3 linked regions of the Anolis sagrei genome follow. The protein of the gene in region 3 interacts with the protein of the main gene of each other region in a biochemical or structural test. Links are inferred from orthologs where the notes say so. Each region holds a gene or a part of one and is shown on either strand. Other genes may lie near its edges.

Region 1 (7,351 bases), on a different chromosome or scaffold from region 3:
GTTCTGGGTTCCATATTTGTTATCCAAGAAAACCATATGCACAAGGTCCAAATATACAAATTTGAATGAAATAATTGATATTGATAGATGCAATAAATGGGATATGTATGTCCTTTAACAGTAAAACAAGTTGAACCATGTGCATTGGAAATGGCAGATGCAATCTGCAGGTTACAAAAGCTAAAGCCCAAAACCATGGTATATGACAATGGAATGTAATGCCTATGTGCTATATCACCTAATGATTTATATTGGTGGAAACACAGAACACCACTGGTATGATATCTTTATAGGATACATCTAATAGTATGGATAGGGATACTTATATTGCTGCCAATCATTTGGATCTTATGGCCTCTTAGACGAATGACAGGATTGACAAATCGATTATCTATATTTGAAAACAAGTTAACGTGTTTAGAAACACAATTATGAACTATGATGTTTGATTAATCATACAAGTTCAATATTAACCTAAACATATATACTCTACACTTAATCAAGTTTGATTATAAGTATAACCAACACTGAATTGCTTATCATGTATGGATCATGTATGTGATACGATAAATTAGCATTTATGTATCAAGGGGAGGAATATGTGAGGAATGAATGTTTGAATGCATGGAAAAGAGAAGAAACAGGCCTGAAGAAAAACCAACGTGGAGTTCTCACAAGGCATAATATGGGACGAACTTGGCAGTCGAAGCGAGGAGACAGTAAGGCATAACTGAACAACAATGGACAATGAGGTATGCGGCCGAGCATGTAAGGAGTGCAGGAGGTACCCCATAAGTCATGAGGCCTGAAATGCAAATGTCTTGAACTTTGGAGAGAACAAAGACATATTGTCCTTTAGTAAGAGGACAGAGCAACCTGACTGTTGAAATGAAGAAAAATGGATTTTGGCCTATAAATGCAGGGGACCCCTGACAATCTCCATGCTTCCTGAACTGCAGCAATGGAGCGTCCACGCTTCCTCAGAAAAGACTGATCATCTTCGCCGGAGGAGGCCTGTGTGTGCATGAGTATGAATGAATGTGTGTGTGCACGAGAGCTCTCCTTGATGTGATTCTGATATGATTCTATGACTTGGGCTGTAGCATCCTGATGCCATACCTGTGCCAAGAAGAAACTTGTGTGACTCTAAATACTACAGTTGCCGTTAGTACACATTTAGGACATTACCCCACCTGTGAGAAGATTGTTGCTTTTGTACAATCTATCTACTCCCCAACAGGTGAAAGTTGGTGGAATTGGCTAACCTCAGGGTTACCAGATTTCGGATGGCTAAAGGGATTGTTCCTGGGTATAGTCCTGTTGATTATTGTATTTTTTATAATTGTGATGTGTTTTCCCATCATCATGAAGATGTGTTATAAGTTTGTGCCTCTCCTCTGGCCTGCAGAAGACCAGAAGCTAAGAGGAGATAATGTATCTAGATGACACAAGATACCCAGGGTGGGTTAAGAACGCCCAGGGAGTACCCAGGGTGGGTTAACACGCAAAATGCTTATCTGTAACAATAATGTGTGTGTTTACGTAGTTTGTAGAAGGTTAGCAGTGAAAGACACTGGAGTGGCAAAATATGAGAAAAACATGTTTTTGAATGGTTGATCCGATAAGAGAGGTGTGTGCCCATGACACAGTGAAAAGACATGTATATAAGGAGACTGAAATATCCAAATATCAGAGACAGCCTTTTTGAAGACACTGGTTTGTCTTGGTTGTTTCTCCCTGTGTGGCCACACTTGAAATAAAGAGATTTCTGCTTTACCTCTGGAGACTAGACTCTCTTCATTTTGCTGCCCTCTGTGACGGACTCAGCAAGGACCCCAAGCAGGGGGTCCCCTACAACTGCAACCCAGCTTTTGCACTTTTTTTCACTGTGATTACAAGGCTCCTCAGCTCCTCCTCACTTTCGGCCATCAAAGTGGTACAGGGTGAGGCAGCATAACTTCCTTTTTTAAAATGCGCACCATTCAGTCGGTGGAAGCACTAGTGGAGCACTAGTGGAGCACTAGTGGTCTCGTTTGAGAGGCGGGAGTATAAAGTTTTGTCCTGACACAGTTCAGTCGCCATCATGCGTTGGAACAGTGAGGAGCGTGCTTTTGCCGTTAAGGCCTACTTTTCGAGCGGATTTGGAGTGGCCGGGCTGCTCTCCAGATTTGACCCCTTGTGATTTTTTTCTATGAGGTTTTTGAAATCCTGTGTTTATGTGAACTATCCAAGGACCCTACAAGATTTGAAGACCAACACCAGGAAGAAATTGCCAACGTAACGCCTGCTATGCTGGCAAGAGTCATGACAAATGCTAGAAATTGGTTTACTCAGTGTATGAAGAATGGAGAATGGGGGACGTCACCTACCTAATTTGATCTTCAAAACTACGTAAAACAAAACCTTAGGTATGCACCTACATTATAAAAAAAAAATCTGATTCATACAATGGGTTTTATTAAGTTTTTAAAAAAGGAAGTTATGCTGCCTCACCCTGTGCAAAGTCTGTCACTGCCTCCACGTTTTCTCATTCTATTTATTTATTATTTATTATTTATTATTTGAACTTATATGCCGTCACTCCCCTGGGGCTCAGAGCAGCTTACAAGAATGGCTAAAATCTAACAAAATTTATGTTGATAATGGACAAAATAACTGTATTGTTAAGAGGAGAAATGCTAGACAACTTCGTTAATGAATGGCAACCAATGATTCAACACCTTAATGTAAAGTTAAATTAAAAATGTATATAGAGGATCCTATAAGACTGTAGACAAGGAAGAAGTGGATGCAAAGTAAGAATCTATGATATCTTTTTATGTAATATTTAGATAGTAGACTGTGACCCCTTAATAGAAATATACTATGAGATAAAGGAATATAGAACATTAATAGATGGCGAGTATTGCACTGTATGCAACAAACATTTGCAAATGTATGTTTTCTTAAATAAAATTAAATAAAAATGGAAAAAAAATCTAACAAAATTTAAAAGCAATTTAAAACAATTTAAAAACAGCAATATCAAACATTAAAAGCCTGTCGAAATAGGTATGTCTTACATGCCCTGCGGAAAGCTGGTAAGTCCCACAAGGCACGGACTTCAGGTGGCAGAGTATTCCAGAGTGATGGTGCCACTGCTGTGAAGTCTCTGCGTCTGGTTGCTGTTAGATGCAAGGTCTTGACACTGGGGACTTCCAATAGATCTTGGTCCTCAGAACGGAGGGATCTCTGGAGTTGGTAGGGGGTGAGGCGGTCCCTCAGGTACATCGGCCCCAGACCATGCAAGGCCTTAAAAATGAATACCATCACTTTGAAAGTGATCTGGTGCTCAATTGGTAACCAATGCAGCTGTAGTAAGATTGGTGTTATGTGGCATCTCATCGGAATTCCCGCAAGAAGCCGAGCAGCAGCATTTTGTACCAACTTGAGCTTCCGGATCACCGGCAGAGGAAGGCCAATGTAGAGGCCGTTACAGTAGTCCAGTCTTGAGATGACCGTGGCCTGGATCACCGTAGCTAGGTCGTCCCTGGACAGGTAGGGGGCCAGCCGTCTAGCCTGCCGCAGATGAAAAAATGCAGTTCTGCTAACAGCAGAGACCTGGGCCCCCATCGTCAGCAGAGGTTCCAAAAGGACTCCCAGACTCTTTACCAATGATGATGGGCCAGTTATCAATCATTCTGGTTGCCAGAATCTTGGTTTTTTTTTAATGTTTAGCTGCAACCCAGTTTTTGCACTTCCTTCTTTCACCTTGATTACAAGGCTCCTCAGCTCTTCGCTTTCGACCATCAAAGTGGTATCATCTGCATATCTAAGGTTGTTTATGTTTCTACCAGCAATTTTTACCCCAGCCTTACATTCATCAAGCCCTGCACATCACATGATGTGTTCTGAATACAAGTTTAATAGGTTGGGTGAGATTAATTGTATTAGATAGATTTAATATTTTAATCTTTTTTCATTCTTTTGCATTTTATCAATTGTAGTTGTAATTGATCCATTTTGTAATGAATATTTTGTAAATAAAAGCACTCCTGGTTTCCATTTCCCTATGCAGAGACTTGGGGAAGGTTTATTTAAACAAGGAGCCCCAACAATCAATGTCAACACTTCAGAAGCCCAAAGAAGGGATCCTGACGTAAAACGAAAAGAGACGAATGCTGACATTTGCCTGGGCCGCTGGTCAAATATCGCGAGAGTTTGCTGAGACTCGAGTAAGCACCCGCCCCCAAAAGGCGGGCGAGAGAGCGCACTCTCCTCTGTCACTGCCTGCGTAATGACGTAGGACGCTGTGGGCGGGGCTACGCGGCCCGTGGGGCGTCCGTTACTCGGGCGGGCGGGCGGCATGGCGAAGACGGTGGCCTACTTCTACGACCCTGATGTAGGCAACTTCCACTACGGTGCGTGCGCGCGCGCGGAGGCAGAGTGACGTTGGGCCTTTGAGGAGCGGGGGGGCTCCTGGCCGGAAAAGGCCCCCCGTGGCTTCTTAGGAAGAGAAACCATTCTTCCAGGAGGAGGGGCGGGGGGCTTCAAGAGGCTTCAAGAGGGAAACTTGTGGAAAGATATTTTCCTTACCGAGGTTTACTGTGTGCCCTCCCCACTCCCTGGATGCTGCACTTGGGTACCAAGGCCCTGAGGCGGAAGGCCTTGCCCTGGGAATGCTGCTGAATGTACTGAATGCACTTTGAGACCACTTTTAGGGTCTTTTTACAAGGTCTTGGGCCTTCTCTGCCCAAACTATGACTCCCAGGATGCCATATAATAATATAATGTAGTATAATATATTGTATATACATATAATATTTATAACTAGCTGTCCCCTGCCACGCGTTGCTGTGGCCCACATGGGAGTTCTGTGTGGGAAGTTCAACCCAATTCTATCGTTGGTGGGTTTCAGAATGCTCCGTGATTGAAGGTGAACTGTAAATCCCAGCAACTACAACTCCCAAATTTCAAGATTCTATTTTCCCCAAACTCCACCAGTGTTCACATTTGAGCATATTGAGTGTTCGTGTAGAGCAGTGGTTCTTAACCTTCCTAATGCCGTGACCCCTTAATACAGTCCCTCATGTTGTGGTGACCCCCAACCACAATATTGTTTTTGTTGCTCCTTCATAACAGTCATTTTCCTACTGTTATAAATCATAATGTAAATATCAGATATGCAAGATGTATTTTCATTCACTGGACCAAACTGGGCACCCACATGTAAATGCTAGTGGGGTTGGGGGAGGATTGATTTTGTAATTTGGGAGTTGTAGTTGCTGGGATTTATAGTTCACCTATAACCAAAGAGCATTCTGAACTCCACAAATGATGGATTTGAACCTAATTTGCCACACAGAACTCCCATGACCAACAGAAAACACTGGAAGGGTTTGGTGGGTATTGACCTTGAGTTTGGGAGTTGTAGTTCACCTATATCCAGAGAGCACTGTGGACTCACGCAATGGTGGATCTGGACCAAACTTGGCACAAATACTCAATATGCACAAATGTGAACACTGGTGGAGCCTGGGGAAAATAGACCTTGACTTTTGGGAGTTGTAGTTGCTGGGATTTATAGTTCATTACAAACAAAGAATATTCTGAACTCCACCAACGATAAAATTGGCTCAAACTTCCTATATGGAATCCCCATGACCATCAGAAAATACTGTGTTTTCTGATGGTCTTTGGTGACCCCTCTGACACCCCTTCGCGACCCCCTCAGGGGTTCCGACCCCCAGGTTGAGAAACACTGGTGTAGAGTTTGGTCCTGATCCATCATTGTTTGAGTCCACAGTGATCTCTGGATGTAGGTGAACTACAACTACAACTCCAAAACCAAAGGACACTGCCCACCAAACGCTTCCAGTATCTTCTGTTGGTTATGGAACTGTGTGCCAAGTTTGGTTCAATTCCATCGTTGGTGGTGTTCAGAATGCTCTTTGATTGTAGGTAAACTATACATCCCAGCAACTTATATTGCAATATAATGGTATAGTGCAATATAGTAATATATGCTGATATTGTACTATGCTAATAATATAATGTATGAAAATATATATTGTAAGCCGCTCTGAGTCCCCTTCGGGTGACATATAAATGCCATAAATAAATAAATAAACTACAACTCCCAAATGACAACATCAATTTTTTGAGTGAAGGACATAAATTGGGTTGTTAGGTCTATCATGTCCAAATTTGGTGTCAATTTCCCCAGTGGTTTATGAGTTCTGTGAATACCACAAACGAACATTACATTTTTATTTATATAGATATTTCTAGCCGTCCCCTGCCACGCGTTGCTGTGGTCCAGTCTGGTGATCTGGAAAATAAAGTCATGAGAAAGTGTTGGTTTCTAATATATGTAATTTCTTTATGCTTGTGGGTAAACAGTATTTCGTGATGTTTCTTTGTCAGTGTTGATGTGGAGAGTGTCTGGTTTGCCTACTCTGAAATATGCAGCATATCATAGTCCATCTTTAGGGGTCCCTTTCAAATCTATGAAGCTATATCTCTCTCTGTGTGTGAATAATATCTATCTATATCTATGGCCGAATGGCTCTTTGTCTGAAGGGCTTTGATTAGATTTCTTGCCCTGGTGAAGAGAGTTGGACTGGATGGCCTTAAGTATATTCTGTTGGTCATGGGGGTTCTGTGTGGGAAGTTTGTCCCGATTCTGTCATTTGTGGGGTTCAGAATGCTCTTTTATTGTAAAAGGTAAAGGTAGTCCCCTGACGTTAAGTCCAGTCATGTCTGACTCTGGGGTGTAGTGCTCATCTCCATTTCTAAGCCGAAGAGCCAGCATTGTCCGTAGACACCTCCAAGGTCATGTGGCCGGCATGACTGCACAGAGCGCCGTTACCTTCCTGCTGGAGCGGTACCTATTGATCTACTCACATTTGCATGTTTTCGAACTGCTAGGTTGGCAGAAGCTAGGGCTGACAGCGGAAGCTCACGCCGCTCCCCGGAATCGAACCTGCGACCTTTTGATCAACAAGCTCAGCAGCTCAGTGCTTTAACCCACTGCGCCACCGGGGGCTTTTATTGTAGGTGAACTATAAATCCCAGTAACTACAACTCCCAAATTTCATGATTCTATGTTCCCCAAACTCCACCAGTGTTTACATTTGAGCATATTGAGTATTCGTGTAGAGTTTGGTCCAGATCCACCATTGTTTGAGTCCACAGTGATCTCTGGATGTAAGTGAACTACAACTGCAAAACCAAAGGACACTGCCCACCAAACGCTTCCAGTATTTTCTGTTGGTTATGGAACTGTGTGCCAAGTTTGGTTCAACTCCATCGGTGGTGTTCAGAATGCTCTTTGATTGTAGGTAAACTATAAATCCTAGCAAATGACAAC
Region 2 (7,664 bases), on a different chromosome or scaffold from region 3:
TACTCACCTGCTTGCCTTTTTGTATGTATAAACCACGCTGAGTCCCTTCAGGGAGAGAGGGTGGTCTAGAAATAAATCATCATCATCATCATCATCATCATCATCATCAAAGCAGATAATCTGCCCAGAGTTAAATGATTAAAACAATTTAAAACCATGTACATTATTATTGGAGATAAATCAATGAGGCCCGAAGGCATTGATGAACAGTCAAGTTTTACTTGACACCTGAATGAAATCAGTCTTGGCACCAATCAGGACTTCAAGGGAAGGACATTCCATAGTCCTAAGCAGTGTCTTAGCCTTTCTTGTGCATATTTCTCCATTGTATTTTAGAGTGGTGGCCACTGTCTTCCATTTTAGTAAAAAAGCAAATATGCTCAAAGATTTACTCCAAACTTTAGAGCGAGAGGGTGTCAAAGGGGTCGCCAAAGACCACCACAAAACACAGTATTTTCTTTTCATCAAGGGGGTTCTGTGTGGGAAGTTTGGCCCAATTCCATTGTTGGTGGGGTTCAAGGGGCTCTTTGATTGTAGGTGAACTATAAATCCCACCTACTACAACTCTCAAATGTCAAGGTCTGTTTTCCCCAAACTCCACCAGTGTTCACATTTGGGCACATTGAGTCTTTGTACCAAGTTTGGTCCAGGTCCATCGTTGTTTGAGTCCACTATGTTCTCTGGATGTAGGTGAACTACAACTCCAAAACTCAAGGTCAATGCCCACCAAACCCAGTATTTTCTGTTGGTCATGGGAGTTCTGTGTGCCAAGTTTGGTTCAGTTCCATCGTTGGTGGAGTTCAGAATGCTCCTTGATTGCAAGTTAACTATAAATAATAACAATATAATAACTTTAATCTTATACCCCCCCCCCCCCCACCATCTCACCGAAGGGACTCGGGGTGGCTTACATACAGGACAGAAGGTCCCCAAAAAGTAAAAGCAAAATAGTCCATTAAAACAAAGACACAATAAAATACAAGCATAATAAAATATAACAAATCCCAGCAACTACCTCTCCCAAATGACAAAATCAATCTCCTCACCAACCCTACCAGTATTCAAATTTGGGCGTATCGGTTATTTGTGCCAAATTTGGTCCAATGAATGAAAATACATCCTGCATATCAGATATTTACATTATAATTCATAACAGTAGCAAAATTACAGTTATGAAGTAGCAATGAAAATAATTTTATGGTTGGGGGTCAGCACAACATGAGGAACTGTATTAAGGGGTCGCGGCATTAGGAAGGTTGAGAAACACTGCTTTAGAGGAATTCACTATTACGCTTGAACCCCATTCCTCAACTAGATTCAATGCCTTGAGATCTGCTTCAAAATTCAGACTAAAAGACTTGCAAACCCCTAACAAGGGAGCCAACACCAGCCATTGGATGTTTCAGAGAAGGTTTGCTGTGAATATAATCTATATTATTATAATAGTAATAACCTACAGTACCTGGTATTCTTTGGTGAGTTCCAAGAACTAACCGCATCTGCCCCTGATCAGACAGCACCTGGCATTTTTAAAGCAATATGCCTTAATTTCTTTTCAAGACAGCTTGTTTCGCCTTTCTTTACTTCCACTGCTGTAGCTCAGTGCTAAGGAATTGTGAGAAATGTTGTTTTACAAGGTGTTTAACCTTCTCTGCTAAAGAGCGCTGGTGCCTCATCAGTGTTGAGAAGGATCAGAGGACAAGTTGGCCGCACAAAGCATTGTTTGGGTTTTCCACCCCAGATGGGAACATATCTCACACCTGTTCTGCTGACACACTTATTCTGGGAATGCTGAAATGCCAGTAGGAATGTCCAGCCACGAATGATTGCCAGCTCTCCTTGTTTCAGCAAAAGGTTTCTATGGCACCTGCCTCCAGAACAGCCTTTCTTCACAGGTGACAGGGCTCGGCGAAGCTTGCCCCGCTGGCACGAATCAGCCAATTATAGCACTGTATTGTGTGGGGTTTTTTATATGGGTTATGTGGCCACATTTATACCCCTCACCCCAATCTACACTTTATTGTCCAGGTAACGGACTCATAAAAAAACCCTTGTGATTTTGCCTGCTCTTTTGCTTTGCCACTGAGTTCTCTTGCAAAATCAAACCAGAGGATAATTCTGATAAGATGACCACGGCATTCATTATTCTAGCTAGATGGAAATCTCTCTCAGATGCAACACTTCTGGGGATGATTGGCAGAGATGGAATTTTATGAGCCAGCTAAGCACAGTAGGCAGAATGTAATGGGCCTGCTGATTTCTACACTCTTGCAGAACAATTCTTATTGAGGCTGAACTAAAAGGAGGATTTGGCCAATGACAGACCTTCCCAAGAACGCAGAGCCATGATTGCATCCTCTCCCTTTCTTTTTAACATGTTACTTTGCATCAAGGGGAGGAGTTGGTCAAAGAGCAGTCATTTCTAATGTGTTTTAAAACTGTGAGCGATGAATCAAATTCTATCACTTAAATCCCATCTATGCTGACCATTTAATACGGTTTCAAAATAGTATTGAAGGAATATGTGCAGGTGATTAAATAGGAAATCCTGGAACCAGTTTGAGACACAAACAGTGCTGATAACACAAACTACAGAGCACTGGTTCACATTAAGGGCTTTCTTTCACATGCTTTTGTAGGAGTTTATTTCCTGGCTGCAGCAGTTTGAAGCCTGCTTCGAATTGCATGAAATAGTCAGTGTAGATGGGGCCTTGCTTTCAATAGCCCCAAGCAGCAGATTCCCTTCTGACCCCAGAGCAGGTTCTTTACCATACAGACTGCATTCCTAGGATAGCTGTGAGTTTTCTGGGCTGTATGGCCATGTTCCAGAAACATTCTCTCTTGACATTTCGCATTCATCTATGGCAGACATTCTCAGAGGTTGAGAGATCTGTTGGAAACTAAGTAAGTGTGGTTTATATGTCCAGGGTGTCTGCTTGAGGCTACTGTGAATGTTGCAAATGGCCACCTTGATTAGCATTTAATAGCATTGTAGCTTCAAAGCTGGTTGATGCCTGGGGGGAATCCTTTGTTGGGCAGTGTTAGCCAGCCCTGATTGATTCTTGTCTGGAATTTCCCTGCTTTTTGTGTTGATCTTTATTTACTGTCCTGATTTGAGAGTTTTTAATACTGGTTGCCAAGTTTTGTTCATTTTCATGGTTTTCTCCTTTCCATTGAAATTGTCCACATGCTTGTGAATTTCAATGGCTTCTCTGTGTAGCCTGACATGGTGGTTGTTAGGGCGGTCCAGCATTTTATGTTCTCAAATATTATGCTGTGTCCAGGTTGGTTCATCAGGTACTCTGCTATGGCTGAATTATCTGGTCGAATTAGTCTGCAGTGCCTTTCATGTTCCTTGATTTGTGTTTGAGCACTGGATCCCCCCAGGCAGCAACCAGCCAGGTTTTGAAGCTGCAGGGCCATTTAAAGCTAATCAAGGTGGCCAATTGCACCATTCACACCTAGAATCATAGAATCATAAGAGTTGGAAGAGACCTCATGGGCCATCCAGTCCAATCCCCTGCCAAGAAGCAGGAATATTGCATTCAAAGCACCCCTGACAGATGGCCATCCAGCCCCTGTTTAAAAGCTTCCAAAGAAGGAGCCTCCACCACACTCCGGGGCAGAGAGTTCCACTGCTGAACAGCTCTCACAGTCAGGAAGTTCTTCTTAATGTTCAGGTGGAACCTCCTTTCTTGTAGTTTGAAGCCATTGTTCCTGCCTCCACAGACAAGAGCTCTTTCTCCCACAGCTATATAAACCCCACTTGCCTAGTTTCCAACAGACCTCACAACCTCTCAGGATGTCTGCTATAGATGCAGGTGAAATGTCAGCAGAGAATGCTTCTGGAACATGGCCATACAGCCCGGAAAACTCACAGCAACCCAATGATTCTGGCCATGAAAGTCTTCGACAACACATTTCTAGAATAGCTTTCAATGCTGCTTCTCCATCTGGGTGTATGCTTAGCAAACAAGCTCTTGGTGCCAGGACTTCATCAAGGGATACTTGAAAGTTGAAAGGGCAGCTGATTGGCACAAATGGGTTGCTTTTGGCAGTCCGCCCTCCTTCCTGCCCCAAAGGGACAGATGAAAAAAGAGGGGCCATAATGTAGTTTGGCCCCACTTTCATTGCCTGGCTCAATAATCGTGGGAACAGCGACGTTTTAGACTACTCTGCCCAAGAGTGCTTTGTCCCTCACCAAACTACAACTCCCAGGATTCCATAGCTCTGAGCCGTGGCAACTAAAGTGGTGCCAAACCGTATTAATTCTGCAGCGAAGACCTTCCGCTCTATTCTGCGCGCACAAGGCAGGGACAGCCTCGAGCACTGCTCGCTTCCTTCCCGCGCATGCGCGTACGCACGACATTCCCCCTCCGCCTCTCGCTTAGCTTGTCTCCACAATTCTTGAAAACAAGAGCGCGCGACTGTAAGCTTTTGATGGACAGCTCTCTCTATCCAACCCGGCGCCGCGTTCGGCTTTAGAGGGGGCGGGGGAGCTTGCCGCGCAATTGGACCAATGGGAGCGCGCCTGCCTTTTCCGAAGAGGGAGGGGCGGGAGCTAAGGCAGTGGGCGGAGCCAGGAGGCGGGCCGGGAGTTTAGGAAGAGGAGGGCTCGCCTGTCATCAATGAAGTCATATTCATAATCGAGTTCCCCTCGCCGGAGCTGTACTCCGGGTGACTCAGAGAGGGAGGCATCCAGCACCGCACCGCACCGCTCTCCCCCGGAAAGGTACCGCTTGTTTACAACTTTCTCCTGCCACCCTGGATGTATTTATTTATTTCCTCTGTTGGGATGGAGGAGGGGAGCAGAGAGTTGGCTTTGGATTGTGCAACCCCTCCACCCCCCCCCCTTCTTTCCTCCCTCGGAGACTCTCTCTCGCTGTGGCTTCTCCTCCAGAAAAGAGGGCCTCATCTACACGGCCCTATAATGCGGCTTGAGACTCGGTTCAAACTGCAGGACGTGAGTCTGCACGCCGGCCCTGCAAGGCAGTCGCAAAACTGCATTACAGGGCAGTGTAGATGGGGCCAAAGTTTGATCCGGGTTGCCTGGAGGCTGCCAAAGAGGATCCACGCCGGATCGTGACCTTCCCTCCGAAGCAGGGGGCTGGCGGGGTGAGTCAGCTCGACCTGGCAAAGGGCTCTCGGCTGCTGCAAGAGGCAGGCAGGCAGGCAGCGGCCCCATCCTCTTCCTCCTCCTCCTCCTCCTCCTCCTCCTTTAGGGCTTTGGCTCCCAAAAGCAGCCAGAAATAGCTCTAGGAACAAGCTGCTAGGAAGAGGAGGAGGAGGAGGAGGAGGAAGGCTTCTTGCAACGCTGGCTGGCTGCCTTTCCTCTCTGGATTGGAGCGATGGGAGAGCGACAGTCTGTTTCCTTTCCCCTTTGGCGACCCTTTATTTTGGGGAAGGGGGTAATTGCAGGAAGGCTGAGACGAAGGTGGAAAGGTTTGCTCTTGTGGATGCCTCTTGGGAGCAAAAAAGAGTGCTGGAAGTTGGCTCTTGCCCCGAGCAAAGCGCCGGAGCCCATCTATTATTAAATTATTATATTATTGTTGCTGCTGCTGTTGTTATTTTGCCTGGGCTTTTGAGAGTTTGGAGAGCTAGCCCAAGGGGCAACAGCAGGGTTCTCCCGTTCCAGCAACAAGGAGGCCATGATCCGGATAATCTCCCAGTCTGTCACACATAAACACACACACACACTCACACTAGATCGCAGGACTTGCTTGCCCCCCTGGCCATATGTAGGCAGAGAGGCATCGCTCTAAAGATGTCGCTAGATCGGGCTGTGTGGCTTTGAAATCCCCTTTCCCTCCTGGCGAGGATAACTGGCCTCTTAGATAATGAGTAGGGAGAGATACATGGAGATAGATCTGTTGCTAGATTGTGTGTGTGTGTGTGTGTTTAGGTTGTGCGGGGTGTGGGAGGGGGGAGCCACATAGATCTGTTGATGTTGCTAGCTAAGAGGTACTTGGCTTGTTCAATAACTAGGGAGGGATAAACAGATCTGGATGCGTTGCTAAATCAGGCTGTGCTGATTTGAAATCCCTCCACAAACGTCCCCTTTCCTCGTGGAGAAGATAAATAAACAGTTGGCCTCTGAAATGAGTAAAGAGGGAGGCATAGAGCTAGGTCTGTTGTCGAAGGATTCATGGCCGCAATCACTGGGTTGCTGTGAGTTTTCCGGGCAGTATTGGCATGCTTTAGAAGCATTCTCTCCTGACGTATTGCCCACATCTATGGCAGGTATCCTCAGGGGTTGAAGGGTCTGTTGGAAACTAGGCAAGTGGGGTTTATATGTCTGTGGAAGGTCCAAAGTGGGAGAAAGAACACTTGTCTGCTTGAGTCCAGGCAGGGCCAGCTAATACCCTCCCAGGCAGGAAGCAGCCAGGCTTTGAAGCTGCAAGGCCATTCAATTCTCACCAAGCTGGTCAGCTGCAACATTCACTCTTGCTTCAAGCAGACAAGAGTTCTTTCTTGCACCTTGGACTTTCCACAGATATATAAACCTTACTTGCCTCGTTCCCAACAGACCTCACAACCTCTGAAGATGCCTGCCACAGATGCAGGCAAAACATCAGAAGAGAATGCTTCTGGAACATGGCAATGCAGCCCAGAAAACTCACAGCAACCCAGAGCTAGGTCTGTTGCCTGTGTTGGGTTGAAATCCACGCACAGGCAAATGTGTACTAGGCCTCTTCAGTGAGTAGGGAGAGATAAACAGATCTAAAGAGGTTGCTAGATCAGGCTATGTTCATTTGGAATCCCCAACAGATTCCCCCCTCCTTTTGCCAATGGAGAAAGTAAAGAAGTAGCTGACCTCTGACATAAGTAGGTAAACACAGTTTGGCAGATGGGGGGCATTGGTTTGAAGCATCCCTCCCCCCTCTCCCAGTGGCAAAGGCAAATGAGCTGTGTTGGCCTCTTTTAATAAGTAGGGAGGCATAAATTGAGCAAATGTGTTGCTAGATTGAGGGGGGGGGGCTTGGCCGTGGCTAAGGCGAAGAAGTAGTTAACTAGATCTCTAGAGAGAAAACCAGATATATTTCTAGTTCTGTGGAGGAGGAGTGCTGGGATGGCTTGAAATCCACCCTGATGAAGGCTAAGCTGCGCTTGGCCTATTCAATAACTAGGGAGAGATAAACAGATCTGGATGTGTTGCTAGATTAGGCTGTGCTGGTTTGAAATCCCGGAAGGTAAAGAAATACCCAGCCTATTCAGTCACTAGGGAGAGGAAAACTGATCGAGATTGGTAGGCGGGGAGCTGTGTGGCTTTGGAAATCCCCTCTCCTGTCAAGGTAAAGAAGTAGTTGGTCCTTGCAATAAACAGAGGGAGATCTAAACATGTTGACACATCAGACAGTGCTGGCCAAAAGTAAATAATAAGTCAGTAAAGAAATAGATTGCTAGACCTGGAAGGCTGCCTTGGTTTGAAATCCCCCTTCTCTCTAAAGGTTAAGAAGTTGTGTGCCTTTTCAATAAACAGGGAGAGAGAAATCGAGCTAAGAAGTGGGTTGCTGTGAGTTTCCCAGGTTGTATGGCCATGTTCCAGAATGTCCCTCCTGATGTTTCATCTGCATCTATGACAGGCATCCTCAGAGGTTGTGAGGTCTGTTGGAAACTAGGCAAGTGAGGTTTATATATCTGTGAAAGGTCAGGGGTGGGAGCAA
Region 3 (7,925 bases):
TTTAATAAAACTTATATGGATTGTAGCATAGGTATTACATTATTTTTCCGCATAATCACCATTCAGTTCAATACATTTTGTCATCCATGGGATGGGTTTTTGATGCCTGTGTTATAGAAGTTTCCCTCCACCTTTTTCGGCCAGTTCGTCACTTCGATTTTCACCTCCTCCTCATCAGAAAACACCCAGGTGTTCCTTCAATTTAGGTAATCACAGGGTACACGATCGGGGCTGTGAGAGGGGTGGCTTAAAACATCCCAGTGAAATAAGGTCAACAACTCTTGTATTGCATTAGCGATGCGGATGCATGTTGTCATGAAGGAGACAAGACTCCCACCGTCAGCATCCCATGATATTTGTTTTGGATGGCTCTACAAAATTTCTTCATGGTCTCACAATATAGCGGTGGTCAGGGGAGCTTTTCAACAATTAAAACTTGTGCGCCAGCTGCGCCCGTACCTTGGGAAGTCTGACGTGGCCACGGTGGTCCACGCTTTGGTTACATCCCGTTTAGATTACTGCAACGCTCTCTACGTGGGGTTGCCTATGAAGACTGCCTGGAAGCTCCAACTAGTCCAACGAGCGGCAGCCAGAATGCTAACACGAGCAGGATACAGGGAGCATACTACTCCTCTGTTGCGCCAGCTCCACTGGCTGCCAATTAGCTTCCGAGCACAATTCAAAGTGCTGGTGTTAACCTATAAAGCCCTAAACGACTCCGGCCCAGTTTACCTGTCCGAACGTATTCTCCCCTATGAACCATCTAGGTTGTTAAGATAGTCTGGAGGGGCCCTGCTCTCGGTCCCACCGGCCTCTCAGGCGTGTCTGGTGGGGACGAGGGACAGGGCCTTCTCGGTGGTGGCCCCATGACTCTGGAACTCTTTCCCACTGGAGATCAGAACTGCCCCCTCCATTCTGTCGTTCAGAAAACGGGTGAAAACCTGTCTATGGGGTTTGGCTTTCGACGAGTGAATCAATATTTCTGTGATCGGATAGATGACGATGAATGATGGACAACAAATTCACTATGACGACTGACCATTGTTATTATGTGATTGCATTTTGCTATTATAACGTTTTAATTGAATATGCCATATGATGTTTTTAATGATTGTTTTGTGATTTTATTGTTGGAAACCGAGTCCCCCGATAGAGGGGAGAAGACCGGTATACAAAATTGCTAAATAATAAAATAAATAAATAAATATACCGTACCCAATTGTCACATGCTGTCTTGACATGACATCCTCTCCATAAACTGAAATGATTTCGCAATGAATTGCAGTGGCATTCATGCATTTAGGTAGCATATTACAGCACAAGCTTCGCACTTGGAGGGAAACGGAATGAGGATGCTCATCTCTAACCTTCACCACAATGCCAGTCAATGAGCTACTGACGACTGGCACTGCTCGTTCACTCCCGCTTGCTTCCTGCTACACAGCAGTGATACCAACTTTCCCTGAGAAAATTCTCCATGAGAGCTACATGCTAAGTGCTAAGTGCCTGGATAAAAAGTTAAAGGGGAAAAACTTAGACAAAAGAGGGGATTGGATAAAGGTTGGAATGAAGAAGGAAATGGTTATGGAAGAATTTAGAGAAATAGAATTGACATGGTTCCATTGTATACAATTAGAACAATGGTTTAAAAATTGGGGAAAAAATAATAAAAACAGAAGTAAGCTTAACCAATTTGAACAAATAATACAAAATGGAAGGGTTGTAGAGAAGCATGAAAATTTGAAAGGAGTAACTAGTAAAGTATATAAGATAATTGAAATAAAGAAAGGAAAAACAAAAAATTACACCTGCAAGGAGGTTTGGGAAGAAGATTTAGGGATAAAAATAAATGAAACAGTGGCAACAATTATGGAGACAAAGACATCTAAAAATGTATCAATATGGGTTAAAGAAAATTATTATAAGCTAATATGGAAATGGTACCTAACACCAGTAAGAATAGCAAATATAAATAAAAACTATTCAAAAAATTGCTGGAGAGGATGTCAAGAATCAGGAACATATATACATATGTGGTGGCAATGTAAATATGTAAATAATGTTTGGGGGAAAGTATTTAGAGAAATAGAAGATATAATGAACATTAAAATAGAAAGAAGTCCTAGTATAGCTTTATTATCATTATATAATAATAAACAATTTAAAAAAGAGGATAAAGATGCGATAACGAATTTATTAACAATAGCAAGATTGCTTATAGCAAGGAATTGGAAAAGAGAAATAAATATACAAACAGAGGAGTGGTACAAGGAAGTATGGAAATTGGCAATAAATGCTAAGCTGACATGTATTTTAAAAGTTAAAAGGGGTATATGGAAACAAAGTGATTTTGATGGAGAAAATTTATTGAAAAGGATTGAAAAATAAAGAAGGAAAGTTACCTCCACAAGAAGAATTGAAATTTTGGACAGATGATATGTAAAAGCCGTGGCTTTGGGGGGGGGGGGGAGTACAGCGGTGAGGGTTAGAAAATACTTATAAGCAGAAAAATAATACGAGATGCCAAAAGTTAAAGCATGGTAGGTTGTATTGAATAATATTTATCTGCTGTAAAACAAACACTGTATAACAAATGTATTGAATCATGATAAAATAATAAAAATATAAAAAAGAGGAGCCATCTTCCATGATGTGATGAGTCAAAGCTTAGTATTTTCAAAACATAAGAATCCCATCTTAATACACTATGCATCCAGAAATATGGTGTGGTGTGGGTGAGTGTGTGTGTATAGTATATCCCAATACGATAAGGTCCTAAGAGAGCCTTTGGAAAGGACTGTATAAGGGTTACTTACTTACTTACTTAGGCGATCCCTCGTAGTCCGAGGATGATGGTCCTCCAAGTTCGGTGTCCTGGCGGTGGGTCCGTAGGTGACTGTGGAGCCCTATTCTTGATCTGCATCTTCTTTCGCAGTGAGGGCATTGGTTTCCAGGTGGAAGGCGGTCTCAGTTGGGGTTAGCTTGACGCGCCTTCCTCTTGGCACATTTCTCTTTCACCCGCCATTCGTGCCTCTTCAAATTCTGCAGCACTGCTGGTCACAGCTGACCTCCAGCTGGAGCACTCAAAGGCCAGGGCTTCCCAGTTCTCAGTGTCTATGCCAGAGTTTTTGAGGTTGGCTTTGAGCCCATCTTTAAATCTCTTTTCCTGCCCACCAACATTCCGTTTTCTGTTCTTGAGTTCGGAGTAGAGCAACTGCTTTGGGATACGGTGGTTGGGCATCCGGACAATGTGGCCAGTCCAGCAGAGTTGATGGCGGAGGACCATCTCTTCAATGCTGGTGGTCTTTGCTTCTTCCAGCACACTGACATTTGTCCGCTTGTCTTCCCAAGATATTTGCAGGATTTTTTCGGAGACAGCGCTGATGGAATCGTTCCAGGAGTTGCATGTGATGTCTGTAGACAGTCCATGTTTCACAGGCATATAGCAGGGTTGGGAGGACAATAGCTTTATAAACAAGCACCTTGGTCTCCCTATGGATGTCCTGGTCCTCAAACACTCCCTGCTTCATTCGGAAAAATGCTGCACTCGCAGAGCTCAGGTGGTGGTGTATTTCAGTGTCGATGTTGACTTTGGTGGAGAGGTGGCTGCCAAGGTAGCGGAAATGGTCAACATTTTCTAGTGTTACCCCATGAAGCTGTATCTCTGGCATTGGAGAGGGGTTGGCTGGTGACAGCTGGAACAGCACTTTGGTTTTCTCGATGTTTAATGGCAGGCCGAGCTTCTCATATGCTTCTGTGAAGGTGTTTAGAGTGGTTTGTAGATCTTTTGAATGTGCACAGAGGATGTTGTCATCAGCATACTGGAGTTCTATAACAGATGTTGTAACCTTTGTTTTGGCTTTCAGTCTGCTGAGGTTAAACAGCCTGCCATCTGTCCGATAGATGATTTCCACTCTGGTGGGAAGCTTCCCATCAACAAGATGGGAAGCTTCCCACCTTCCATCTTCATCTCATAGCGATGAAGATGGAGAATAAAGTTGGGGTAATATAAGGGTAAAAAGCTGTTAACAGCATTGCAAGTGGTAGTTTCACTATGCTCTATGCTGCCAGTCTTTTACAACATTTTTCCCCTGCTGGAAGTTGCAAGCTTTCCTTTTTTTCTCTCTCCTGATCTGAGAACAGGCCATTGACCCCATTCCTGTGTGCTTTATGACCATTCACTGACTGCAGGGCTCCCTGTCGTGGTGCACCGGTGTGTCACGCCTTGTCATTTCACAAATCTTTGAAAGGCCTTGATTGTTCACTGGCTCTTACGGCTGGCACTCAACTAACTTTCCTCCTATTGTGTAATTTTATGTGTAAGACCTGATCTGTGCAAATCTGATTATCATATCTTCGGTTCATTGATTAATGGGGTGCAATGTGATCACCTGTTGGATCAAAATCCAGGAGAAATAGGGGAGACAGAAACAGGTGCATGCAGTTTTGCATAAAAGGAAGAGGTGTAGCCACTGTAGTATGTGTATTCTTCAGTAGAAGCCTCATAATACTTGGTCTGTTAGGTGTTTTTGGTCTCCCCACCCTTTCTTCATTATCAGCAAAGAGCAACTGTCTGAGTTAAACAAACAACTCACAGATAAATTGACTTCCAGGTTGCTGGTTCCAAGGCTAAATCTTTATGAGCTGTTTTGCCACTGGGCTGTCTTTCTTGGGCTGTAAATGGAGTGTGTCTGTGTACATACTCCTTGGCAGTGACCCCGGCCATATCCTGAAACCTGATTACACACCTGAAGCCTTGGTGCCTTGGTACAGGCTGGGTTAATGACTTTGTTTATACTGATAAGGACAATTGAGATAAATGTAGTCCCCTGGGTCTCCTGGCCCCGGCTGGCACCTTCATTGAGAAAACCTTTCTCCGGGCCACGTGAAGTCTCCGTTTCTCCCCAGCCAATTGGTTCAGGGTTGACTTGTTTTTCAATGAGCCGGTGGCTGCTTGTCAAAGGGAGGTCAAGGCTGCTAGTGGGGGTGGTTTCCAATCATCCCTTCAGGGGCCTTATAAGTGAAGCTGGGAAACGGCAGCTACAGAAAAGACGGGAGAAACTGTGGAGTGAGCAAAAGGTGTGGTAGGACCAAGACAGTTGCCAAGCCACCTGTATAGGGAAAGCGTTTGCTTTTCAGATAGCGGTTCCTTACGTTCTTCTCCAACCTGATCATGGAGTGCGAAAAGTGCCCGTGGCACCATGAAGAAAACCAGAACGCCATCCTCTACACCCTCCTGAGCCAGAACTTGAGCCCCAACAGGAGCAGCGCTGGCTTTTCCCAACAGAGCTGCATGTGCCACAAGCGCCGCACGGTCTGCCTCCGGACCCCTCAAGTGACCTGCCAGGCAGCCTCTGATGTCTTGGTGAAGACCATCACCTTTGTGAAGAACCTGCCGTCCTTCCAGCTACTGCCCTGGGATGACCAGCTCCTGCTGCTAGATAGCTGCTGGGCACCTCTCTTCCTTCTGGGGCTGGTCCAGGAGATGGTGACCTTTGAGGTGATGGAGACCCCTGCCCCCAGCATGCTGGAGAGGATCCTCCTCGATGGGCCCTGCAAGAGGCAAGAGCCGCAGAGGACACAGCCCACACTGGCCAGTGTGCAGCGGCTACAGTGCTGCTTGAACTCTTTCTATAGCCTGGACCTGAGCCCTAAAGAATATGCCTATCTGAAAGGCGCCATTCTTTTCAACCCTGGTAAGTCCTGCTTGAACCCATGTGCAGTAAGAAGGTCTGTGAGAAACGGGCCAGCTTTTCATAAAAAATAGGAGGGAAGAGGAAAGCCAGTATGGTGTAGAGCAGCATTTCTCAGACTTCCTAATGCCACGATCCCTGAGTACAGTTCCTCATGTTGTGGTGACCCCCAATCATATTATTATTTTTGTGTCAAGAGTGCCATGAGAAACTAAATTGTTTCTGATGTGAGAGAATTGACCATCTCAAGGACATTGCCCAGGGTACACACCAGGGTGTTTGATGTTTTACCATCCTTGTGGAAGGCTTCTCTCATGTCCCCGCATTGGGAGCTGGAGCTGACAGATGGAGTTTATCCGCACTCTCCCCAGATTCAAACCTCCAACCTGCCAGCAGAAGGGTTTAACCCACTGTGCTACCGAGGGCTCCATTATTTTAGTTGCTGCTTCATAACTGTGATTTTTGCTACTGTTATGAATCATAATGTAAATATCTCATATGCAGGATGTATTTTCGTTCACTGGAACAAATTTGGCACAAATCCCCAATACACCCAAATTTGAAAGTTTGGGGGGTCGATTTTGTTGTTTGGCAGTTATAGTTGCTGGGATTTATAGTTCACCTGCAATCAAAAGAGCATTCTGAACTCCATGAACTATGGCATTGAACTAAACTTGGCACACAGAACTCCCATGACCAACAGAAAATACTGAAAGGGTTTGGTGGGCATTGACCTTGAGTTTTGGAGTTGTAGTTCACCTACACCCAGAGAGCACTGTGGACTCAAACAATGATGGATCAGGACCAACCTTGGCACGAATATGCAATATGCCCAAATGGGAACACTGGTGGAGTATGTGGAAAATAGACTTCGACATTTGGGAGTTGTAGTTGCTGGGATTTATAGTTCACATACAATCAAAGAGCATTCTGAACTCCACCAACGATGGGATTGTCACACAGAACTGCCATGACCAACAGAAAGTACTGTGTTTTCTGATGGTCTTTGGTAACCCCTCATGAGCCCCCCAGGGGTACCAACCTTCATAAGGCTCACATTTATTTATCTTGCAATTTTGTTGATGAAAAATTATAGGACAGCTTTACTAGAGTAACAGCAAACCGTAACAGGTGTCACCCCTGCAGGATGAGATATTGATAAAGGTGTGCCGTTACAAGTGACCTGTAGAAAAAAGATACCAGGTGGTACATCAATGGCAATGTTGGTTGTAATTTCTGATATCCAGAGCATGAGCAATCATGTTCTGATTACAAGTCCCATAATATCTGGTTGGAGTTGTAAGCTAAAGTATTATTGCAGCCTCCCGTTAGGAAAGAGATTATGCCAGGTATGGGCAAACCCAGGTCTGGGGTCGGATGTGGCCCCTTGCGCTGTTTTCTTAGGTTGTGTCACTATCCTATCCTTCCTTCCTTCTCGCTTTCCTTCCTCCTTCTCTTCCTTACCTCCCTCTTTCTCCATCCCTTCAACCCTGTTGTCCTTCCTTCCTTTCCTTCCTCTCCCCCTTTCTCCTTCCTGTTGTCTGTCCTTCCTTCTCTCTTTCCCCCCTCCCCTCCCTCCATTCCCTCTTCCTTCCCTTCCTCCCTTTCTTTCTTCTCTTTTTCCTTCTTCCTTTCCCTATTGAGGATATTGAACTGGGAGAAGAGAAGGTAGAGAGGGAACATGAGAACCATGTTTCAAGATTTCAAAGGGTCTCCCATTGAAGAGGAGGGGAAAACTGACTTTCTGCTGCTCTAGAGACCAGGGCACAAGGGAGCAATGGTTTCAAATGGCAGGGAAAGAGATTTGACTGAAAAGCTGAGGAAGAACTTCCTGTGAGTAAGAGCTGTTAGAGAGTGGTGTAGGCTACCTAGGAGTGTGGTGGAGTCTCCTTCTCTGGAGGCTTTTCCGCAGAGTCTATCAGGAGTGCTTTGATTGTGCTTCCCTGCATGGCAAAGGGTTGGACTGGATGGCTCTTGGGGTTCTCTTCCAGCTCTAGGATTCTATATCAGGAGTAGGCAATAGGGGTCCCATGGATACACATTTTCTCTCCTGTCCACCATCTCATCCTGACCAAGGCCAACCCTTTTGGGATCCAAACATTTCCTGTTTTTCCTTCACTTTCTGCCTCTGAAAGAGAAGAGGAAGGGGAGGAAAGGGTAGGGAGGAGACTTGGGGGAGAACCCCCTTCCTCCCAGCTCGCCCACCCTGTTCCAGCCCAGACAGGAAAAAGC

What was found. The genes of interacting proteins can lie anywhere in the genome.
Region 1: the proteins of NR0B2 (region 3) and HDAC3 form a complex in vitro, tested with the Homo sapiens proteins (2 studies listed by BioGRID). The link is inferred for Anolis sagrei from reciprocal best matches to the Homo sapiens genes NR0B2 and HDAC3.
Region 2: the proteins of NR0B2 (region 3) and SMARCA2 form a complex in vitro, tested with the Homo sapiens proteins (2 studies listed by BioGRID). The link is inferred for Anolis sagrei from reciprocal best matches to the Homo sapiens genes NR0B2 and SMARCA2.

Annotation. Positions count from the first base shown.
Region 1 is NC_090024.1:135,120,215-135,127,565, forward strand, and holds the start of HDAC3 (histone deacetylase 3), read left to right. Parts: upstream 1-4,272; 5' UTR 4,273-4,345; coding exon 4,346-4,400; intron 4,401-7,351. UniProt on the Homo sapiens protein: Histone deacetylase that catalyzes the deacetylation of lysine residues on the N-terminal part of the core histones (H2A, H2B, H3 and H4), and some other non-histone substrates.
Region 2 is NC_090022.1:220,641,735-220,649,398, reverse strand, and holds the start of SMARCA2 (probable global transcription activator SNF2L2), read left to right. Parts: upstream 1-4,585; 5' UTR 4,586-4,732; intron 4,733-7,664. UniProt on the Homo sapiens protein: ATPase involved in transcriptional activation and repression of select genes by chromatin remodeling (alteration of DNA-nucleosome topology).
Region 3 is NC_090034.1:72,711,743-72,719,667, forward strand, and holds the start of NR0B2 (nuclear receptor subfamily 0 group B member 2), read left to right. Parts: upstream 1-4,871; 5' UTR 4,872-5,173; coding exon 5,174-5,696; intron 5,697-7,925. UniProt on the Homo sapiens protein: Transcriptional regulator that acts as a negative regulator of receptor-dependent signaling pathways. Specifically inhibits transactivation of the nuclear receptor with which it interacts.